Linked DNA regions of Drosophila melanogaster. The protein of the gene in region 1 interacts with the protein of each later gene in a biochemical or structural test. Each region holds a gene or a part of one and is shown on either strand. Other genes may lie near its edges.

Region 1 (10,973 bases):
TCATCATCATCATCATTATCATCGCATTGATTGCAAAATCTTTTGTTTCGAAGAGTGATCTTCCAGCAGAATGTATAATGTATAAACAGTCATTGAAAATCGTTTAAGGAACTTACAGGGCTATAATAATCAGAAATCAGGTAACAACAGACCATTTGTACTAGTTCTACCAATCACAAGAGCTTAAAAATAAAACACAACCACATTGTAGATAAACTGCAGCATTATTCACTTGAGTTTTTTTGAATTTCCCAAGCCTTTTTTATGCGATTATCTAATAAGCTTACCAGGGGAAGCAAGAAATAAACTTAGGCAAACTTTTGAAGTAAATTTATGCAATGATACAATGTGTATTTATGCGAAGACAAGCGAACTCTTTCATGAGTTTTTGCCATAAAAAACGGATGGTCATTTCATGTTTCGGCTACATCAGCGGCCAACATTCTTATTAGTTCCATGTTTTTCCAACAAAAAAAAAGAGAAATGAAATAGCATTCCATTCCACCACTGTTCTTTACGCCGAAACTTTTGACAGTTTAACGCTTTGCCGGGAAAATCTTTCAACGTTATTTGATTCTTTATGGCCAATGAACGGAAAACTTGCACAGCTCGTGCTTTTCACGCGCTGCATGTGCAACAGATTCATTTCGAGGCTTGAGTGCGGTTTTTGTGGCTTTCCCTCACGTGTTCCTGAAAAAAAAAATGTATTTCACTCTGAAAATTTAGCCGCCTACGTGCTACGTGCAACGGCTGACCCTCGTCACGGACGAATTTTCCTGCTGCTTTCCACCGTTGTCCATTTTAATTTGCAACTCCCTTGTACAAATTGAATTTATATGGGCCACAAGCTATGTGTTTATTTTTGCAATTATCCCGGATTCGAGAAAAGTAAGTGTGTCTCCATTGTTCCGACTACCTTTTGTTTGGGCCAACGAAAATTTACGACTCTTTCGTCGGAGTTTTTCCGTGCTTTTATTTGATTTTCCCGCTGACCTTTGGCGTTGCGTGTTTCTGTGTTGGTGCACAAGTCAAGTGTTTTCCTTTGTTTTTTCCATTACAATTGAAATTTCGCGCACCACATCTTAATGGAAAGTTGAATCGTTCACGAATTCTGTGATTGCAATTGCAAACATGCCGCTGGCTTCTGGCCAAAATAATGAGCAGTCGCCATGGAGAAATACGAAGAAACTACTTGTATCGGAAAATATTTTTATCCATCTGCATTGCCTGGAAGCGGACAAAGGGGTGTGGCCTTTCATTTGCTTCATTAAAAATTCAGAAAAGCGCCACGCAGTCAAATTGAAATTTGCAATTTGGGCCAAGCTGAGATTTGTTGGCTCGTAAATCAAACTATTTGTCAATCGGTTAACAGCGGTATCGAGAGATCTGGGGCCAATCTGCCCACCCAGGCCAAAAAACCGCGTGTGGGCCTTTTGGCCAACTCTCGTTTCGTTGGCCCAAAACACCGTTCAACCAACGTTCTGCATAATGACGCTACTTTTGTCCCAGTTTGCGTGCCTCTTAATGATGGCGGGTATGTGGATGGTGACATGGTAATGGTTCCTTACGCGGAATGCCAGCTAATTCCATTAACCAATAGGCTTTCGTCAGGACAACAAATGTTCGCAAGTGGGCGTTAGCTAACCAAAAACGCTAATGAACGCAAGGATGTCATAGGGATAAGCATTTAGTTAGCTTCAAATGCCAAAAAGATAATGGAATTGCTTTTGCCATCCAACTTATTTCGCAAAGAAAGCCAGCAAAGTTTCAAATAAAGTTTTTGGTGTCACACAAAATTTATTATCGCCTAATTAAAAAAAATTGAATTGTTTGCGACTCGTAGCAGCAAATTATTGATTTAAATTGTCAACAAAAACAGAATCTTTAAACTGGCAATATATGAATCCATTTAAAGCCAAGTGTGCTATATAAAATATTTTTCGCTTTAATAAAAGCTGACTAATTAATTTTTGGCGAGCTAGAAAGCTAATGACAATTCCAAGGTAATGCGTCTGCAGAATTAATAGATCTTGATACTTGATTAATTGAGCAGACATTTTAGCACCCTTCGATTGAGGTCACTTGACTTGTGGGTAATCTGCTATCAGCGGGAACATCTGGTTTAATGTCTATTGTCCGACTCTAATTAATTGATATATGGTTCCGTTTCAATTGACATTTTTGTTCCTTTTTTTTTTTGGGCAAGTGCACAGCGCCCGCTGTAAATTCCGCCCACAAACAAGAGCTAGTTTTGCAGTTTTTGCGTTGGCTCCACTGGTTGTTGGCCACGCCCCCCCACCAACTACGCCAACGCCCACGACTATATCCCCGCCCATTTGGCATTCCACATACCAAATTCCCAGCTGAGAATAGAAATACGGGCTTCTGTGCGCAGATCTAATGCATTTTGAAGCGATAGCTGCAAGACAAATGCCCAAACAACACGAGCTGTGAGCAAAAAGCAAAAGTGACGCCTTGATGGATTGGCAACTGGAAGCGAAGAATAATGGGTTACAGAAATCAGTCGCAGCCTCAGATCCCCGAGAAGCTGCAAGATTAAGGGAAACTTCTAGCTAAACTGCGGGCGCACTGCAAGATAAACTATCTGGCAAATAGCGAGTTCTTAACACCATTTCGCAACGGCCTATCTTTTCAACCATTTGGCTGCGATAAGGTCAGGAAAGAGATACGGGGCTTGATTATGTTAAGTAATTGCCTAGCAGAAGCGGCGAAAATAATTTAATGTCTTTTTTTTTTGGCAACCTTTGCATAATGCGCAAAGAAAGTCAAATGGCATAAAAGTGAAATTACCGGAGTAATGTATCTTTCAGTTGAGTCATTTGGGAAACTTTATTTTTCGGTTGTATAACTCTTCAGTTGTCACTCGAGAGATTTGGAAAAGTTGTTTCTTTTCTTTTCCATAAACTGGGAACTTAATAAAAATAATAGAAAGACCATTGCCGGTGAAATTGAATCGTTGGCATTCTGCCCACATATTATACAACTACAACGCGTGGCGACAACAAGTTGGTTGGTTGGCCAGCTGCTGGCGAATAAATAGAAATGTTATATGCGTTCACTTAATAGCCGACAAGTGTTTAATTTGTTTGTTTTGGGTTTCGCCCGATTAATAAATAAATATGGCCAATGTATATAGCCCATTTAGTGCCTCGCCGTGACCTCAAAACATGGCTCAATTTTATGCGATTTGTTTACTCAATGCATTTTTTGTTTTGACTGGCTGGCTGCCTTCTGCCATTTTATTCCCGACGGAAATAAGATTGCTTTTATATATATATATACATATATTTTCTTATTTCCCTGATTCTCCGAAGTGCACTTGATTACGTGCAGTTTATGGGGCAGATAAAATTTTCCCAACGAATGGGCTTTAGTCTAAAGTTTCCAGCGCTTATGAATGGGCTTTAGTCTAGGGCTCAGGTGAAAGCCAATTGCCTGCTTAGCCTTTTTTTTTGCAGATTTATGGCCAAGTTATTTCCACCTCTCCATGCAGACAGTTACAATGGCCTGGCCAAAACATTTGTTGTCCGCTGTCAATTTATTATTTGTTATTTATTATTTACGTTCTGACTCAGACCACGGCGGATGTAAAGAGGCGAAGGTGTCCATTCATAGAATGCCAAACCAACCAACCAACCAGCCAGCCAACCAACAAAGTGGTGTGAAAACGTGTTCAATGCTGGCCGAGATTGTCCAACGAATCGGTTTTATTTATGGCTTATTGGTAACCGGCAAATTCAATTAAACAGATATTATCTTAAATGGAAATTTATGAGCCAATTCGCCCAAAGAGTTAAGGGGTTTCTCAAAAATGTTTCAGCTTATCCGAACTGCCTTAGAGAAACGCAAAATGATTTTTCTCTCTACAGATGTACAAAATGTACCTAAACTCAATTCTAGTGTTTTTATCTACAACAGGAAGTCAATCTTCTGTGCATAAGCAATCCTCTTGAGATTAAAAAGATCTCTTGTGCAATAATACATATCAGCATTCTAAATATCTCTAGAGATATTACAATCGCTTGAAATGCACACAAATTCGTTGTCACACACATTCTTTGATTATTTTGAAGTCTATTTTCGGCGAGTTCTGCTTAAATATTTTGTGTGTATTTATAATTAGTTTCTATTAATGCGAAAGAACTACTTTGTTCATTTTTTCCAGTGCATACAAAGTAATTTATTCGTAATGGAGCTCTCTACTTCAGCACAATCAACTACAGTAAAGTATCTCTAATTTGACACCCACTGCGGGGGGCGGGGCAGGTGTGCGTATCTGGTGGATACTTGGCCATAAGCCCCACCTGATTAATGTGCCATGTGCATAATGGGTAGGTGTGAAAAAGAGGTGCAAGTGGCCAGTAGCAATGTGATGGGTGCACATTTTCCAAGAACCACTAGTATCCATTGATTATTCTGGCTTATCACAACAGTTGTTCAACGCTTGATGCCAGGTGAATTGCGAATTTGGCCAGGGGAATTACAATAAATATTTCATCAACACCATTCGCGGACATTTTTATGACTCCAAACTTTGACGATTCGTAGCAGTTTTGTACCACATTTTCCGGACATTGAGAACGATGGCAATTAACAACAGCCTGGGCTGGGCAGCCTTTTGAAGTGGCCAGAGATAAATGGAGCAGTCGGCAAACTGAAGGAGGTCTGTATTCAATAAACAAATTGGGCACAGTGTGCAATTGGAGGCAATGAATTATGGGCATCTGATTTGATCAGAACTTCTCGATCCTGAGTCACGTATTGGGGGAAAATGTATCAACAGTTCGTTTGGTCAAGAAACGGATGGCGTGGAACCGGTTTAAGAAAGTCGCTATAGACACATTCAGTTGACCAGGCAAACAAAAGAAAGGTGAACCCTTTCTTCTATATATATATGTACATATATATGTATATATACCAACTTTATTTGGGTGTTTCTGGAAAAGCAGTATGAGTAAATTCGAAATCCATCGTAGTGTTATTCATATTTTCATAGTCTTACGCAGTCTACCGTTTGATCGCAGCAGCTTGGCAACAACAACAACTATTGAAGATACAACAACAACTTTTGAACGTACAACAGTCACGATCGGCGATGAATCACGATTTGAATACCTGGCACCGGTGGATGTTTGCAGTCTTGATTACTTGGAATGCCGCTGACGTATTCACCATAGACACACGCACACTTTTCGTAGACCCAACACTTATATGCACTTATCAATGAATAATACCAGGCAGTGATAATAGCACACACACACACACACGCACTTAGAAAAAGGTCACTGATAATAGTTCATTATGTACACCATCTATAGGAGCATAGTGACCATGACTATTTTGGGTGTTTTTTTTTTGTATAATTGCATCGAATTGAGCAACATCACGAGCGCCGAATTCGATTTCGATTTTCGAGCTTACGATTGACAATCACTTAGAACTCTTGTCAACCACCTGTGGCTGAGTTTGCACTTGTATTCGAATTCCGATTCGTATCTGTGTTTGTTTTTTACTTTTGCGAAGGTGTGGGGGTTCGCTCACATCGATATCTAAACTTTTGAGTGCGGATTCATTTGCTTAGCACCTTTGATGCTTCACTTATACTTATATACGACACGATTTGGTTTCGTTTCCACACGATTCTATATCTATATTATCGGACGTATCTTCGAGCCTTTCAAAAATTAACGCTTACGTTGTGGTTTTCTGTGCTTAACACTTTCTGCGTGGGGCACTTCAGCAGTATCGGTTGCTCTTGAAAGACAATAAATACTGCGTCGTCGGCAAAGTTTGAACAGTTTGCACCGAACACAAGTCAAAAGCCCGCGAAATTTCCTTCCGCTTTGACGTCCGAACAGCTCGAAAAGTTAACGTTAACTAGAGCTGGGGCACTATCGACGGTACTATCGAGGTATCCGATTCGATTGTTATTTTTTGCTATCGATGAGCGTTATCTACAGCATGTAGAATAGAACGGATAGAATAATATTTTTGTTATATCTTTAGTCAACATCATTTGAATTTTCTTGTTTCGTTAGGGAGTTTATCTCTCGTTTAGTTTCCTTTTATTATTATTTCATTATTATTTTGAAAGGTGAAGTGTACTAAATAACGAGCTAAAAATTGAACGCAATCACGCTATTCGCGGCGATGCCAGACCGCTTGAAAACAGTTCCAGTTGGCCAGTGGCGGCCAGTGATGCCATGCGTACTAAATTTCCTAACGGTTTTAGTTTTAGATCGAAGTGCTTAAAATAAAGTTTTCTTTTATTAAATAATATTTAGTATCATTTAAGCATTTCTAACGATTTGTCAGCTGAGTAAGGGGATTGTGATTTATAAGGGTCTCGACTATAGCATTTTCACTACTTTCCACCTATTAAATATTTTCAGGAAACTGGTAAATCCTTTTATTCTACAATAAAGTATAATACAATTTCCATTTATTATTGATAAGAAATAGTACATTTTATTCATTCGGTTTCACAAAGTGGCCCTGGAAATAAATGGTTTCCCTATCGCGAATGACATAGGCAAAAGGATGATCGGCATTAAAAACCATTTGAGATGACGGCATAGGCATACTATAGCGCACGAAAAGTAAAGCTGGCAAAAATAAAACATATTATACAAATATATATATAATAAAATTATATCATACCTGTTGCAGCCGCTGCCTCAGCTCCTTCTTCATTAACCTCGATGAACGCCTTATGAATGACTTTTTTCACATGAACGTTACTGTTTTCGACCAGATCTTTGAAGTCAGCAGATTTTTCGAACGCATCTTGTATGCCCATCTATAGATGAATATCTATAAATTGTAAGGGTGTATCAAGAATAATCTGTGAATACTCACCGCCACAAGAACTTTGTTTAGTTGAGCGAAGAATTCGATTTTAAACTTGGGAAGCCTTAAAGTTACATCCATTTTGGAAAGTTTCGGTTTGAATCCTACAATCTTTTTCTCCAGCTCTGATAGTCCATCGACCTGGTCCGGTAGAAAAATTAGCATGGACAGGCTTGAATTTCTGTAGGGCAGCTCGATAATTTTGGCACCCAGTTCACTATCATGTGCGGCCCTAAATGATTGAAATAGTGACATCATCTCGACAGGAACACTCTTTTGATCCGAAACACGGAAATTCCTCTTCTTCGTTAACTTGGGATTAAATTTGTACTCCCACTGGCCTTTAAAGTATATGGCATTTAAGACGATCAATTCCATTTTCGACATGTCATTGGATGAAACTAAGTCTTTGATTTTACCACGCGTCTGATTATCTACCCAATTATTGACAATTGAAGAAGCCTTATTGGGATCGACAATGTCGATTGCCTCCGCTTCAGCCATAAATGAATCCTTGACCATCTGATTGTAACTCGGTACTAGCTGGAACTTTTTGTTCACGTATATGCGATTAGCCAAACTGAGAGTGGCTACCTTCTCGCGTCCTTCGAGTTTACTCAGAAGGTCCTTGTATTTGGCTGCCACTTCCTTTTTGTCATCGGGCAGTTTCAAAACATTCCTCATTTCTTGGGCTGTCTTTGCCCTGGCTCCCATGTAGGCCATGCTCAGTGCGATTTCCACGGAAAGGGGAGAGGAAATGAGATTATTGGCCGCATTTTCCTTGGCCAAAAGTTGGTAGAAATCGTCGGCAAAGCGACAAGATACCGACGTGGCCAAAAGAAGCAGACCTGCGTTGCAATTATTACCTATTCCTCTTTGATTAACTTGTATTTTATTAGTTTACTTACACAAATGCTTCATTTTAACGTCGATCGAGATTAAGAACAAATTAGAAATTACGGATTATATATAGTCTGCATTATAATCAAATTAGACTCGCCAGCGCGATATAAAATTTATGCGCTTCGGTTGGATTTCATTAAGCCATTCTTAAAGAATATAAATGAATGGCATTACACAATTAAACTTAAATGTATAAATTCCATAACAACATATGTAATTTGTCGAATCTAATTTGATTAGTAAACCAAGTATAAATAGTCTACTTCGTTTTAAAGATCAGTAATAATGAACTAATTTTCTAATAGTTTTAAATACTCAATAAATAAATCAGGTTGTTTTAAAAAACAGACCAACTTTTGCTACAAAAATGGTATGATTATTTGTCAAACATCCGTGTCGCAACATTTTAATCAATTGCATGCCATTTAAAGCCCCAACTTCGCATTCAATCATATCTGCGGCTAACAAAGCAGTGACATGGCATACAAGTAACAAGAGTGATGGCCACTTATCAATTACAGAAAACAGATTTTAACGGACTCCTGATGAGTCCGATTTTAGCCACATTCATATGGTTTCGAATGCAAACACATTCACATTACGGGAGATCAAGAGATCAAACTCCAGCGACACGCTAGGAACACAAACAATAACATGTCGTGGGTGTAATTAAAATTGGATGACCACAAAGTTCCATAATATTTCCGACATTTAGAGCGGTCTAATGGATGACCGTCTGGCCAGTGGAGTTTGAGCAATCAATTGAGCCGAACGATCACTGATCGCTGCAGCCAAATACCGCTTAATGCGCAAATAATTGTGGATTTCGGGGGAAACGAGGCCAGCGAAAGTTCCGTATAAATAGGGGTTGAGCCGTCCAGGAGTTTACAAATTCATCCAAAACGCGGAGTGAACATAATGTTGCGTCTGATTTGCGTGTTCCTGCTCAGCTGCGTTGGCTTCCAGGCAGCCTTGGCTTGCGTAAGTATGGCAGGAGCTCCGTGGACCAGATCTATAAGCTATCTTTTGCCCAGAATGGCTACAAAGCCAAGCTGGTCAAGTTGGAGAACTGTGCCGGCGAGGATGCCATTATGACGGTGGGCAGTGACTTCAGCCTGAAGCTAAACAAGAAGTGTGAACTGGTACCCTCGGGCTGCATCATGAACAAGCCGTTCAGTACCGCGGTGGCTAAGTTCAAGGTCCAGAAGGATGGCATCGTAATGAAGGAGGGCAAGATCGATCTATGCGCCGCCATTGATCAGGCCTCCTCCGAAGGTAAGGACATGCTAAAGCTTTTCGGAGCACCTTCCTCCTGTCCGGTGGGCGAGGAGAAGGTGTGCGCCAACGATCACTCCGTGGATCTGAGCAAGTACAAGGCCATGTTGGGCATGGCTCGTGGTCACCTCATCATCGATTCTGAGGTCAAGCATGACACGGTGAGTTTATTTCCAATATATATGATAGATATTTCGATGACACCTTGTTGTATTTTCCTCCAGGGCAAGTCCTGCATTCATGCCGAAATCGAGATCACCAAGAACTAGTGACGGAATCCGATCGTTGGTCTTATGTTTGTATTATGAGTCTTGCAAATCATGTAGTTGTAAATACGAGGGCAAAAAAAAATTGGTAATGCGGTGCACACACAGTGATTAAATATACAGAAAATACCGAATTGAAATTATCACAATGCTCTCTATAAGTTATTTCAAATATCTGCGGGAATTTAATTAAATTGATCTTTTTTGTGTCCGATCCTGAAGATCACGCTGCAGCTGGCGTTTCAGCTGCTGGAGCGTCTCCTGGCGCTCCGGAGGCACCTCCAGGTGCAGAAGTCGTACCATTTTGGGGTGGTGGCGGACTTGGTTCAGCCATGTGGTAGTGACATGCATCTCTGCACGATTGCAAACTATGGAACTCATTCCTCCTGTAGATCTTGCGGCAATTTGTGGTCACCTTAAATGATCAAAGGACCTAAAGGATATGCTCGTGATCGTTTCTCGCTTCTACCTTTATGCAGTCGAATAGAACTCGGTGAAAGGCAAAGAATTCCCGATGCGATGATCTACAAGAAGATTCGGGGGGATATTTGTTTTTCACCAGACAGGAGCTGTTCTTAGCTAGAAAATCGGTAATTGAGTGAATGGTTGAGTATTAAGTTCAATCTTACTCCTGGTCTTGCCAGCCTCTATAAGAAGCCAAGCGAGGGCAACAATCACCGCCAACAGCAGTAGCTTCATGACGGATCATCAGATGGTTGGCGGCTAAGTGGACATCCAACTGGCAAAGCATTAATACTTAACACGGCATTAAGCATGAAAATTGCCATTTGCCATAAAAGTAAATGCTATATTTGTGTGGATTACCAAATGAAGGCTGAGCTCTCTAAGAAAAAAACATCGTGGCTAAATATATTAGTAATATCTCTTTATATATCAGTGTATACAATTGTAACATTCCACAACACTTTCGGCTTACAAATACGTTTGAGAAACAATTAAAACTTATGGTTAGTCCGATACGAGTAGCGAAGGTAGTGTAGTTAAGGTAAGGAAGCTGTTCATCGAAGACCGTCTTGGGCAGAGTGAGGATTTGGTAAGTGGAAGAGCTTCAGCTTCAGCTTCAGCTTTCAGCTTCATCTAGCAGATTCCGGAAAAGCTGTAGTCAAACTCGGTGTTCTTCTCGTTTAGGCGACCCAAATACTGGGAGTGCTTGATCCCAAAGCTGTAGGCGGGCACATGGGAGAGGTTTACCTATCGTGAAGAGTAATTGGAAGGCAGAAACAACCCATTGATTATGATGTGTTGACCAAATGAATTTAATGGCAAAATACATTCTCAAATATTATCGTAGGGCTTGTCCGCCCGATTCTCCAACAAAGAGCGAACACAACGCTGCGGAACGTTGACTGGCAATGGTTTCTTGATATAGGGGGAGTGCAGGATGCCAAAGGATATGGCAGGAGGCGAACGTTTCTCCCAGTACTGTGGGAGGGTTTAGGATGAGGTGAAATCTATTTGCACGGAGTGATGTCCCACAGGTAAGAGCCGTTTTATGGTAATTATCAAAGGATATTGGTTAAATAACTGACCTTTCCAATTTATCGCAAACGGCACATTACCCTTACCCACCAAAAATACTTTTAATACAGGGCAAATTTGTTTCTGAATCTCAATAATCTTACGAACTCTTTCAGGACG
Region 2 (11,140 bases), on another chromosome or scaffold:
GGAGTGATTGTAGCATTTGTCTTACCGTCAATGGTGTTCCGGCTTCCGCAGCTGCTCCTTGGCAGCAGCTGCCCTCCAGTGCACCCGGCGCCGCACTGGGATCGTCCGCCTGGCGGAGCAGGCGCACCTTGGTCTGCGTGGAGGAGGAGGACGTGGCGGCGGCGTAGAAGAACCTCTGCGATGGTTGCCTGTTGTTCGGGGACACCAAGGAGCCCGCCGCTGCCTCGCTGACGATCAGGACGAGAAGGAGCACTGGCAGGATGAGCAATGGATGCTGCATGGGCTTCAGAATTCGGATTCGGGACATGGCCATGCGGATGCGATGGAAGAACAGTTTTCAATGGCGTTAGAGGACACAGAATCCGTTACAATTATCTAAAATCAAGGGATGAAACATCATTGCCATGCAATTAACATACTTTATTAATAATTTATTAATGTACTATAATTTGCGGAAGTGACCTTCCGAATCGAATGGTGAGCCATGTTTGAGACATATGTACATAAATATTTTCGGAAACTCCAAATTCAGCTTAATTTGGTTTGGAAAATTCTTCAAAGCCGCGAAGATTCGAGAAGGTAAAGATTTCTTTTCATTTGAAAATGGTTATATTTTTTGAAATTTTTTTTTTTATGCCGGTAGAAGTGTGAAGTCGCCTTTTATTCCCAGACTTCCTCTGACTGATTTACGACTTGATATATGTATGTATGTTGGAAGATGACAGAGTCAGAGATTCATATTGTTTTCCTAGGGTTAATTTACTTTTTCCCCACAATGTCAATTCTTCGGGCAGCAGGTGGTGTGCTCTTCAGGTGTGGGTGACAGGTGGGCAGGCGGGCGGGTGGTCACGTTTCCCATTCGAATTGGGGTCAGTTCGGTTATGAACGCGATGTTGGCCAACGTTGGAGGCAGCAAAAAAAAAAAAAAAAACCTGCGTCGGCCAACTTGACATTGATACAAAACGTCTTATCATCACTCCGAGGGTACGAGGGTATCGTGCGTCAGGCATATCAATGAGACAATCAACCTGCCGGGGGACAGGAAGCACCGGGCGTGTTAGTCACCAGCGGCACTCGATAAACACCCCTTAATCTCGATTGAAATCGTAAAGTTTGCGACAAATATCTTACAATGCCAATTGTAAACAATTGTAAACAATTCAAAGAACAATTAGGTGTATTAGGTGCATAGGGTAAATCAAGCAATTGTGGCTAGTTCAAGATGGTTACTAAACGACTGAGTCACGCATACGCCCCTGGCGCACACTCTTTACATGGTACTAGGCAATGCAATGCCACTACCACTACCACTTTTGGCTATGAATGAGCCGCGTTTGTTCGACCGTTTCTTTTATTATGGCCATGCCCTGACTCATAAATCAGCTACACTTGTGGCCATTAAAGCCCTCGAAGCCAAGTCAAAAGGCGGCAGGATTCTTGTGTAATCGCCAGCAATCTAGAAGACTCAAGCGGGAATTCTTCAGTTCGTTTCCTGTCTTTCAAACTCTATTTCGAATGCTAAGTGCGTAGGGAGTTTAATATTTCCTGCATATGAAAAGTAAGACTCAGCTACTGATTATGTTGCACTCGAAGGAAAAGTGCAATAATTGGTCGAAAATGAAATTATAGGTAAAATTAATCAACTGCAGAATTCGCGTTCTGCTTTCGAACAGAAGAATTCTTCTTCTTATGCTGTTAAGCCAATGATTTTATTTCCAGTGCCGGCTCCACTGTGGCTCTCGCATTTAATGCATTTCATTATTATTTGTTTTTATTCTCGTCGCTCCCTTGTTCTTATTCTTTTTTACTTATTCTTGCGTACTGCTTAAATATGAAAATTCTTATTATAGGTCAGTTCGCGTTTCCCTTTCAGCTGCACAGTCTGTTCTTCTTCTTCTTCTTCTTCGTGGGCTGTCGATAACGTAACGCACGCCTAGTGATAGTGATAAGTCCCAGTAAAACATACTAAATGCACATGCATACATACATACATAAATATACAGATTTGTATATAGCGTGCTGGTCAAGGCGCTTTATCAGCCTAGTGAATAGCAAATAAAATATAAATGGCTATTGTAAAATCGCAAAAGGCGTTCATTCATTAAAATGCAAAACAAAAAATAGAAGACGAAGAAGTGAGAAAGATGTAAACATAGCCATATGCTCCCCCATGGATCGGAAAATATATACATATGTAATGTACATACATACATGTATATTGGGTCTGGAAAAAAAATGGACTGCTAGATTCCAAGAGCTTGCTTCGCTAATTTAGTATAGATATAAACAAATAGTGGTTTGGGTAACCAACTTCATTTTAAATTCAGTTTAATCGAATTTTGGATGTACGGCGAATGAAATTTTGCTGAACATGATACCATGATAGAAAAATAGTTGGATGCAAGTTTTTAAGGAGGCTTTATGAGCCTATTTTACTATACAAATAACTTTTATAATGCAACTGGCAAATTGGAATGATCTTTATTAAAACGTACAAAGTTTTTTGGAAATACTTGTATGAACTTTTTTGTACACATAACAAAGTGTGGAAAGTTTTTGAAGATGCCGACTAATGGGTTAATGCCCATTATATGTATATACATAATTGATTATATTTCTCTAATACAAAGCTGTGGAATATGCGGACAAAGCGTTTTAAAGTGATCCTGGTTTCGTGCAGTGTATGAGGGCAAGACGAAGAAAAGCAAAGTGAGAAGTGGTGCAAAAAACAACACAGGAAAGGAGATAGCAGAATGGGTAAGAGGGGTGTGGAAAGGGGTGGGGAAGGAGAGCAAGATCGGATGGTGTTAAAAATAGCTTTAAGCTCGCCTTGTAACGGTACTCCTCGGGAGTTTCAATTTGTGTGTATGTTTCTGCACTTGCGTTTTAGGTGCAATGGGTGCACAAGTGTTTATTTGTGGGCTGCAATCAACACACACACACGCACACGGAATTCAGCTATCATTGTTTTCCTTTCTGTTTTCCTTACATTTCTTGGCTCTTTTTAACAGTTAAGCAAATACCGATTGATATGACAGACCAAACGTTGTTATTCTTTTCATCGCTCTCCCTCCCTCTCTCTTTCTCTGTTGCCAGGTGTCACGCACACCTGTGTGATTCATCTTGACATTCCTCTGTGCCGTCTTGTTGTTGTTGCTCTGTTTTTATTTTTTTTTTTGGCGGCTGCTGCACAAGCTTTGTGTGGAGTAACAGCTGTTAGCTTAACAGTTTCGGAATAATTTTCAATTGGAATTAAAAAGATATCAAGTAATTTACTAATCTATCTGCAAAGAATTTCAATAGATCTTACAAACTGAAAACAAGATTCAAAATATAATGCAGATTCTTAAAACCTCTATAGGATGTTCGTTCGACGGGTGGGCCGCTGGTGATTGCACAACCTGTCACATCGAAGGTCTCTTTAACCCGATTCAACGGTTAACTTGTGCGTCTAGTCAGTTATCAGTTATCAGTTGTTGTTGTTTTTGTTGTTGTTGCTACTGAGGCATTTCGTCAGCGCAGATATTACAGATCGACCACAGGGAGACGGATAGATGGGAGTAGTGGTAAGGGGGAAAGGCAGATTACAAAATTAAGCACGTTTTTAAATTATATATATGAATGCGAATATGTACTTATTGCGAAAGCGACAGGCTTTTGTTACTCCTCATACTGATTGCTTTTAGTACCCTGTACTAAAAAAAGGTATGCTAACTTTGGCGAAATCTGATCAGCATTTAGTTTCAAAAAACGCAATCAAGCCACTGTTTACAAGCTTTCTTTAGGAATATTAAACTTATAAGGCTATCATATGCATATATCCATGCCTCAGGTATCATATAGTCGATAGACGATACCCATATGATCTGTATTTAGTTTGCGCAGGTGTCAGCTGTATTTATTCTCACACTTTCGAGGCATTCCTTCCCGGTGCGTCACCCGAAGATATCAAATCATATCAAGTAATCTCAAGGAGGAGAAGGCGAGGAACCAAAAGGAATCATCTCGGAATCGCGATCCCCACTTGGGCGGTCCTTAATTACGCGAAGGGAGTGCCTCCCGCCAGGCAATTGCTCCCCGCACAAGAATTCCAATACAAAAGGAAGACTCAAGCGTTAATGATAAGACCGCGGGCGCGGCGCGGGCGGAGGCGTGGCAGATCAGGGAACAGGCCCATAGCTTGTCTTCCCGTCTGGTCATTCGCTCAGGCAAATCAATTACAATATAGACATGATAATAACTCCACTGCATCCATGGGCCCATGTAGACGGGGGAGCAGTAGAGCAAACAACAAACAAGAAAACACAAAACTTGGACCAACAGGAGGGCAATGGGCAATGGACAATGGGCAGTGGGTTCTACAAGCTCTACAAGATAAATTATGGATTTGCTCCCAAAGGGCTCCCAAAGGGATCGGGTCAACGGCGACGTCTGGAATGCGAGTCTAAGATTAACCGATTTCAACTTTTGGAAGGCGGAAATATGAACAAGTTTTTAAAAAACTAGGGCATATCTAAAATAATTGTTTTCTTTTTTAAGTTTAGTGAAGGTGTCACTTGCTCAAGGTATAGTTTCCTTTCTAGGATATCAAAGTTCTCCAGTTGTTTCATACAATATACGTTATAATTAGAAACGTTTACTATAATATTTTAATATTCATCACATAATATATAATGTGTGACTTTTGTGAGCAAACATTATCATTAAACGTGTTTTCTTTTAATGAAAACCCGCAAATGTGCATTTCAAAATAAATTATTTCTTAAAAATGGCATTTTTGTTCTAAAATGTTATAAATTAAAAAAAAAAAAAAAAAAACAGGAACTTTGAACACATTGCCAGCATTAGTTTATTGAACTTTATTGACGATTTATCCGCAATAACTCGATCATAAACAACTTGATATATTGCAGTTTAAGGCAGCGACTACATTTAAGCCAAGTTCACTTTCATTTGTGATTCACAAATCTTATATTCGCACGCGATTTGACGTAGTTTGATTTGAATAACGATTAAGCCCGGCTTAGACTTTGTTTTTAGGAATTCAAGCGCAACATTTTCACTGGGTTTTCCACACAGCCACTGGAATAACTCAACAGCCAGATCAAAAAACGTTAATTGCAATTGTACTTTTTTGTTTTGTTTGGTTTTTTTTTTTTTTGCATTTGTTAATGATAAAATGGTGTTCTGGTTTTGCTCGAAAGCTATTGGGGAAAAAAAACATATATATAACAAAAGGCTGTGCGCTGTGGAGAGCTTTTTAAAAGGCCCGGCTTTAGTGGGGCAGAAGTGGAAAACCATATAAACAATAACAAAAAGCAGTTTCAGTTTAAATGTTAGATGTAGTCGAGGGTCGCTGGCTTGTTTGTTTACGCTGCTGATTTGTGTTGAAATGTTGAAATTTTGAGAAGCACCACTTACTTTATGGAAACACGGCTTGAAAATTCTAAATATTATGTTTTACACGAAGTTCAATGGCACAAATCGGTTAGCACGAAACGAAAAACAAACAACAAAAAATATGTGTGCACAAATGGGGGGTTTTGTATTTAATAATTTGTGATATATATTTGAGCGCGTTTAAGTTTGTGGTGTTAGCCTCGCGGAGATCGGCGGAGCTGCGATCCAAGCACCAGCAAGTTCCGTTCAAAACTGTCGACTCGTCGGTGTGGGCCAAGTTACTGCGCCCCTATCACCACAGTCGCCAATAACAATAGCAGTAGCAGTAACTGTTGCAGTAACAGTAACAGTACCCAGCTGTCGCAGCATTGCGCTCTCCGCTCTGTACCGCAACACTCACATCCAATCCGAACCGAACCGCTCCGCTCATTACTCTCCCGATCTTGGGGCCTGGAGCGGAGCGGATGGGTTTCACTGTTAACAGTTAACGCTGGGAGAGCGCGATCTCGACTTACGCACACCCTCGCTCAGGAGGCTCGCTGAGATTTTAAATTTAAATATATATAGAGCAACATGAACAATACATATGTTACATTCTATTATCTGTCTATTGGTGGAAATGGAGTATATTATCTGATTAATCAGTGTTGTGGTGATGATAAATATTACTCATAAAGCTGCACTATTTCATCGTTATTTTCAAAGTATTCATTTTAGTGTGACATTTTACATTATGTTAACACTACGCAGCAATAATCTGTAAACTTTCTTTAGGCAATCTTTCATTCTTTCAAACTTTCCTTAGAAAATATTTCAATTGTGCCCGTTTCTATTAACCTGACTTCATGTATTGATATTTTTTTATTCATATAAGTACATTGTCTTTCAGCCATCTGCTTGCTATATTAAAGTAACTATTCGCTTATGTCTATAGTTCCTAAGATGTAAATGTAAATCGTCTCATAAGCATTAATTTTACAGCAAAAAATAAAATACGATTTTAAATTCAAGTTCGTTTGGAAAAACATTTCCGATGACTAGGATATAAATTCAAAATATTAACGCTATTAAAACGTTACATTTATCCATTGCTTAAGTATATATTAATCGTAGTTCTGGACGTGAGATGTCGCTCAGGTATCTACGATTCCGGCTAGGTTGACTGCCCTACGGATGTTCCTCACACACATGCCGTTCGAGATCGATGGCCCGGAAGAAGGGCCGCACGCAGAATTCACAGGTGTAAGTGCCGTGTCCATGGCCGCGATCCGTCTTTATGTGATCGGTGAGGTGGCACCGCTGGGTGAATCTCTTTCCGCACGTGGGACACAGATGCGGTCGGTGGTCCAGGTGCAGACTGTTAACGTGCTTCTTTAGGTGATCAGCAGTGGCGAAGTCCGCCTGGCAAATACCGCACACATGACCGCGCAAGAGGATGTGAACACGTTGCAGATGGGACCGCAGGGCTTCTCGGCTGCCATGGCTCTTGCCACAGTAGCAGCAGTCCAGGGCACTGCGTTCGTGAACCTGCTCCAGGTGCCGCACCAGGCTCAGACTGCCGGGGAATCCGTTGGCGCAGAAGGGACACACGAAAACGCTCGGCTTAGCGTTCACAATGCACGACTCCTTGTCCAGGTCGGTGGGCCAGCCAAAGGTGAGATCGTCGTCCCAGTCGATGCTGGGCAGTATGTTCTCAATGTTCTCCTCTAGCATCTCAAGATCCTCCATTTCATCAACCTGGCTGTCTGCAGGGATCGGATTGAATAGTATTATTAAGCAGGGTATGCCATTAACATCACAACTACTCGTAAGCAGAATACCTACCTGCATCACTGGCCGTGGACTTCAGGGTACGCAGGCGATGCACCTCCTCGGCGTGCTCCTGCAGCTCCAGCATCCCGCTAAAGGTCTTAACGTCGTTGCAGTTGTCCGTGCACATGTCGCAGTAGAACAGCGACTGCTGGCCGTGCCAACTGGCAACATGACGGTAAAGAAACGTGGCTGACGCGTACTTCTTGCCGCACTGCAGGCACAGGAACTGGCCATCGTTGTGCTTTCGCTCCCGATGCCGCTCCAGCCGGGCCTCCTCGCCGAAAAGCGTCAGGCAGTGGGGGCAGACGAAAAGACGCCTCACCCTGACGGAGCACTGCTGCTCGTGCCGCTTGGCGGCCAGATGACGAGAGAACTCCGCAAAACAAACGCCGCAGTGGTACGTACGCTTCTTGGCCGGCTTCTTCGCCGCCAGCGGCAGGGCTCCGCGGTTGCTCGCTCCCGGCGCTTTTGGCCGGATGGGCACCGGTTCCATAATTTTAGCTTGTCCAATTAAAATTGTTGTTACAAGCAAAACTGCTCGCTGACTATCGATATCGGAAGGCGCGATTTGTTATCGATTGACCGCAAGTGCCGGGAAGCCAAAAGTGTGACTGCAGCGCGAAAGCTGAACAGAATATATCAATAAGCGGTCACATTTACTTACCGAAGTGTTCAAAAACAAAAATCAAACATTTTCAAATTAAATTCTTCATATTCCCATTGAAAAGAGCCCGCTCGTACATTTTCGTCACTTGAATATTTATTGTACTTCATTTAAATCATTTTGTATTTGAATTTTTTTTACATACTTTTATGGTTTTTAATTTCATCAGCATAATTCAATAATATATAGTTTTTGTATAGTATAATAATTTTATAACACGTTTTTCTGCACTGTGCAAATAATTTTCCCATCAACTTCTATTCAATTAGCGAATTTCCTTTTAGTTATTTGCGTGATGGAGTGTTGATATTCAAATTTCCTTGAATTCTTTAGTACAGTCTACATTAAATTGTTTTACATTTGATTTCATTTACCGACTAACATTTTGTTGTATATTCTTTTTTGGGTTTTTTTTCTCAAAATAATTCATGTTTTTAACACTTTTATAATAGTATAAGCTGTATACACTTATAATAAATGACTTGAATACATAATAACAAACGCCTCGGTTACAATCTTCAATCTTCACAACTGTATTCATGACCCAGAATTTACATGGCGTTACTAAAAGCTCTGGAATCTTATGTATTAAGCATATTGTTTTGCGCATTCCTGTCCTCTAATCAGTGATGTGAGCACTAATTATCCAGAAATTAAAGTAAATATTTGCAGGGCAATGCCACCCACCTGACGCGTGAAGTAGTACACACTTATGTAATCCATTAAACATACATAGTTATCGAATTCTTTGTTCTTATTATCAAAATGGCGCTGTGGCGGCTCAATCAATCCATCGGACCTCTAATGGTTCCTTAGTTCTATGCTCATCCGATACTCAAAAGTTCAAATAACACAATGGTACAACTTAAACACACAAGCAACATTTTTGGTTTCGAAATTCCAACACTACAATCGAAAAATCGCAGCCAGTTCTAAAAAAGACCTTTTTTCGATCATCACAAAAATGTAACAGAACTTCTTCATATTAAAAATGCACTTTAAAGTTAAACACTTGAATCGAGAACGTATGATCTTGTATTTGCATTTTCTATCAACTGGGACGATTTTTGCAGAATGCTATGGGTGGGGGTAATCACTTAAATGCACATCAAACGTTCAATAAAAGCGAAATGGGATCAAATCAGGTAACAATTGAATACGATCTAATAACACGATTATCCATTAGCTAAAGTTATTCTTTGTTGCATGCAATGATTTAGTAACTTATTCACACTTTTATTCGAACATTTTGAGTACCGGGGTGGAGTAAAGTCGACAGCCGCGCTCTTGTGTTATATTTTTGTGTTTATGTAAGATTTCTGTTTCGGCAAGGAACCCATAAATATGCATGGGAACACTTAGTGTAAGCGATTAAAAGATATTCTCCATTGACTACTAAAAACATTCGGAACTTGTTCTTGCGATTTGCGTTTAAAGTAATTCATATCTTGCCTGCATTTGAATCTTTTGTTGTAAACTCTTAGTAAACTATTCATTTTTGGCATATTTGACTTACAACAACGGTAATACAAAAAAGTAAATGTACATAAAAAACAACAACAATACAATTTTCCTCCGCATTTACTACAACTTCCTTGGTGTTGTTCTAAAAGCTGCTATTATATATTTCGACAACAATTTCGGAACTGCTGCTGCTGCTGCTGATTTGTTCGGTTTGCATTAGGTATTCTTTTTTTTTTCCTTTTTTATTTTTCACTTGTATCTGTATTTTTGAATTTTTCATTTTATATTTTATTCTTTAACTCTTTAATTGCTCGGCTCGCATGAAGCAAAGTTAACGGTGGTTTCATGTACACATTTTGTACGCACGCCCTACACATCGGCACATCGTTCCTATTTTTCTATATGCTCTATAAGTTCAATATGCTCTATACTGATGTATGTTATGTACTCCCCGTACCCGTACCCGTACCCATACCATCGTAATATTTCGTAATATCTATGCAACACTGGCTTTGATTTTCGGTACGCTCTTTACATTGGGGGGGATATCGTTTTGGGGACTTACATATGTATGTATGTACGGATCCTCGGAATTTAAGTGTTTGGGTTTTCGTCTCGTTAATTGAAGTAGTTCAAAAATGTATGTTTAGCATAGAAAGCACAAAGAGAATTCAGATATTCAGATAATCGGATATTCGGATATTCCGATATTCGGATATTCCGAAATTCGGATATCCCATATAAAGAGATTGTTTACCAGCAAAACGGTTTTCGACAGTAAAGTAGCTAATTCATATGCACAATGAAAATAGAAATATATGTACTTAGATTGTAATAGTTCTTCGATAAGTTATCATCTTTCGATTCATATAAAGGTATTAGTCGCGAACAACCAGGATTTCATCTTAATTTGATTCTCTAATTTCTTTGTTTATCTGTTTCATATACTCGTCTCTTCTCTTCTATTTGTAAGATTCACATTAGATTAAGTTTGAATCGATCGAATGCAATTTGATCTTAGAGATGCGACCCATCTCGCCTCACTCCCATCGATGTTGGATCTACGAGTAAGAAGTGGTTAGTGGTTATACTAACTAACCCCACTGCGATTGTTTGGGCGGGCAGCTCAATACATTTCTAGTCGAATAGAGAAAATTACTAGGTAGGACATTGCTAGGACACGTGGGTATATAATCTGAAACGCACAAGTTGATCGCGCAAGTCAGTTTCGCATGGTCAAATACATAATACATAATCTGGCAATGTTGGCTATGGATTCTCTAATAATCTACATACATAATCACTTCTTCTTCTTCTAAATATTTTGCGTTATTTCCAACTGTGTTTCATTTTCACTGCACATCAATTTGGGGCTCGTGAGTTTCTGGCATGTACGCGTGAAATGAAACGGCTAATTAACTTTGAACTGAGATTTCAAATGGCAACTACTTGCGCAGCCAACTTGTGCATTTAATTATCCGAGGGACTTTTATTCTAGTTGGTAAATCGGAGCCATGGTTACATAGGCCCAACACTTTGTACTACTAGCTGAATAAATCTTGGGCTCTTGAGTTGGCAAGGGGCAAGCATGATTACCATCACCATCAGATAGTATTGTTCCAGTGTCCAGATTCCAGATCAAGTACCCAAGAATATTATTTATTCCAAGTACCAGGCACCAGCTTGCCCATTGTCAGCTCATCTTGGGTTCTCGAGGTCACAAATTTGCTGGGGGTCACAAGAGCTTTTCCAGGGGAAAATACATAGTTGATCGCAAATGGATTGTGAAAAGTGTGCCCA

Evidence for each region.
Region 2: the proteins of Pvr (region 1) and Pvf1 form a complex in vitro, tested with the Drosophila melanogaster proteins (one study listed by BioGRID).

Annotation. Positions count from the first base shown.
Region 1 is NT_033779.5:8,233,976-8,244,948, forward strand, and holds the start of Pvr (PDGF- and VEGF-receptor related), read right to left. Parts: upstream 5,904-10,973; 5' UTR 5,717-5,903; exon of another isoform or gene 4,944-5,716; intron 1-4,943. Other genes in the region: Spn28F (serpin 28F), read right to left, coding at 6,490-6,626, 6,682-6,820, 6,880-7,718, 7,779-7,791; CG14277 (uncharacterized protein), read left to right, coding at 8,692-8,754, 8,808-9,209, 9,273-9,317; CG43057 (uncharacterized protein), read right to left, coding at 9,538-9,729, 9,784-9,893, 9,944-10,013.
Region 2 is NC_004354.4:18,827,228-18,838,367, reverse strand, and holds the start of Pvf1 (PDGF- and VEGF-related factor 1), read right to left. Parts: upstream 5,687-11,140; 5' UTR 5,422-5,686; intron 376-5,421; 5' UTR 314-375; coding exon 26-313; intron 1-25. Other genes in the region: CG7101 (uncharacterized protein), read right to left, coding at 6,568-7,145, 7,225-7,705.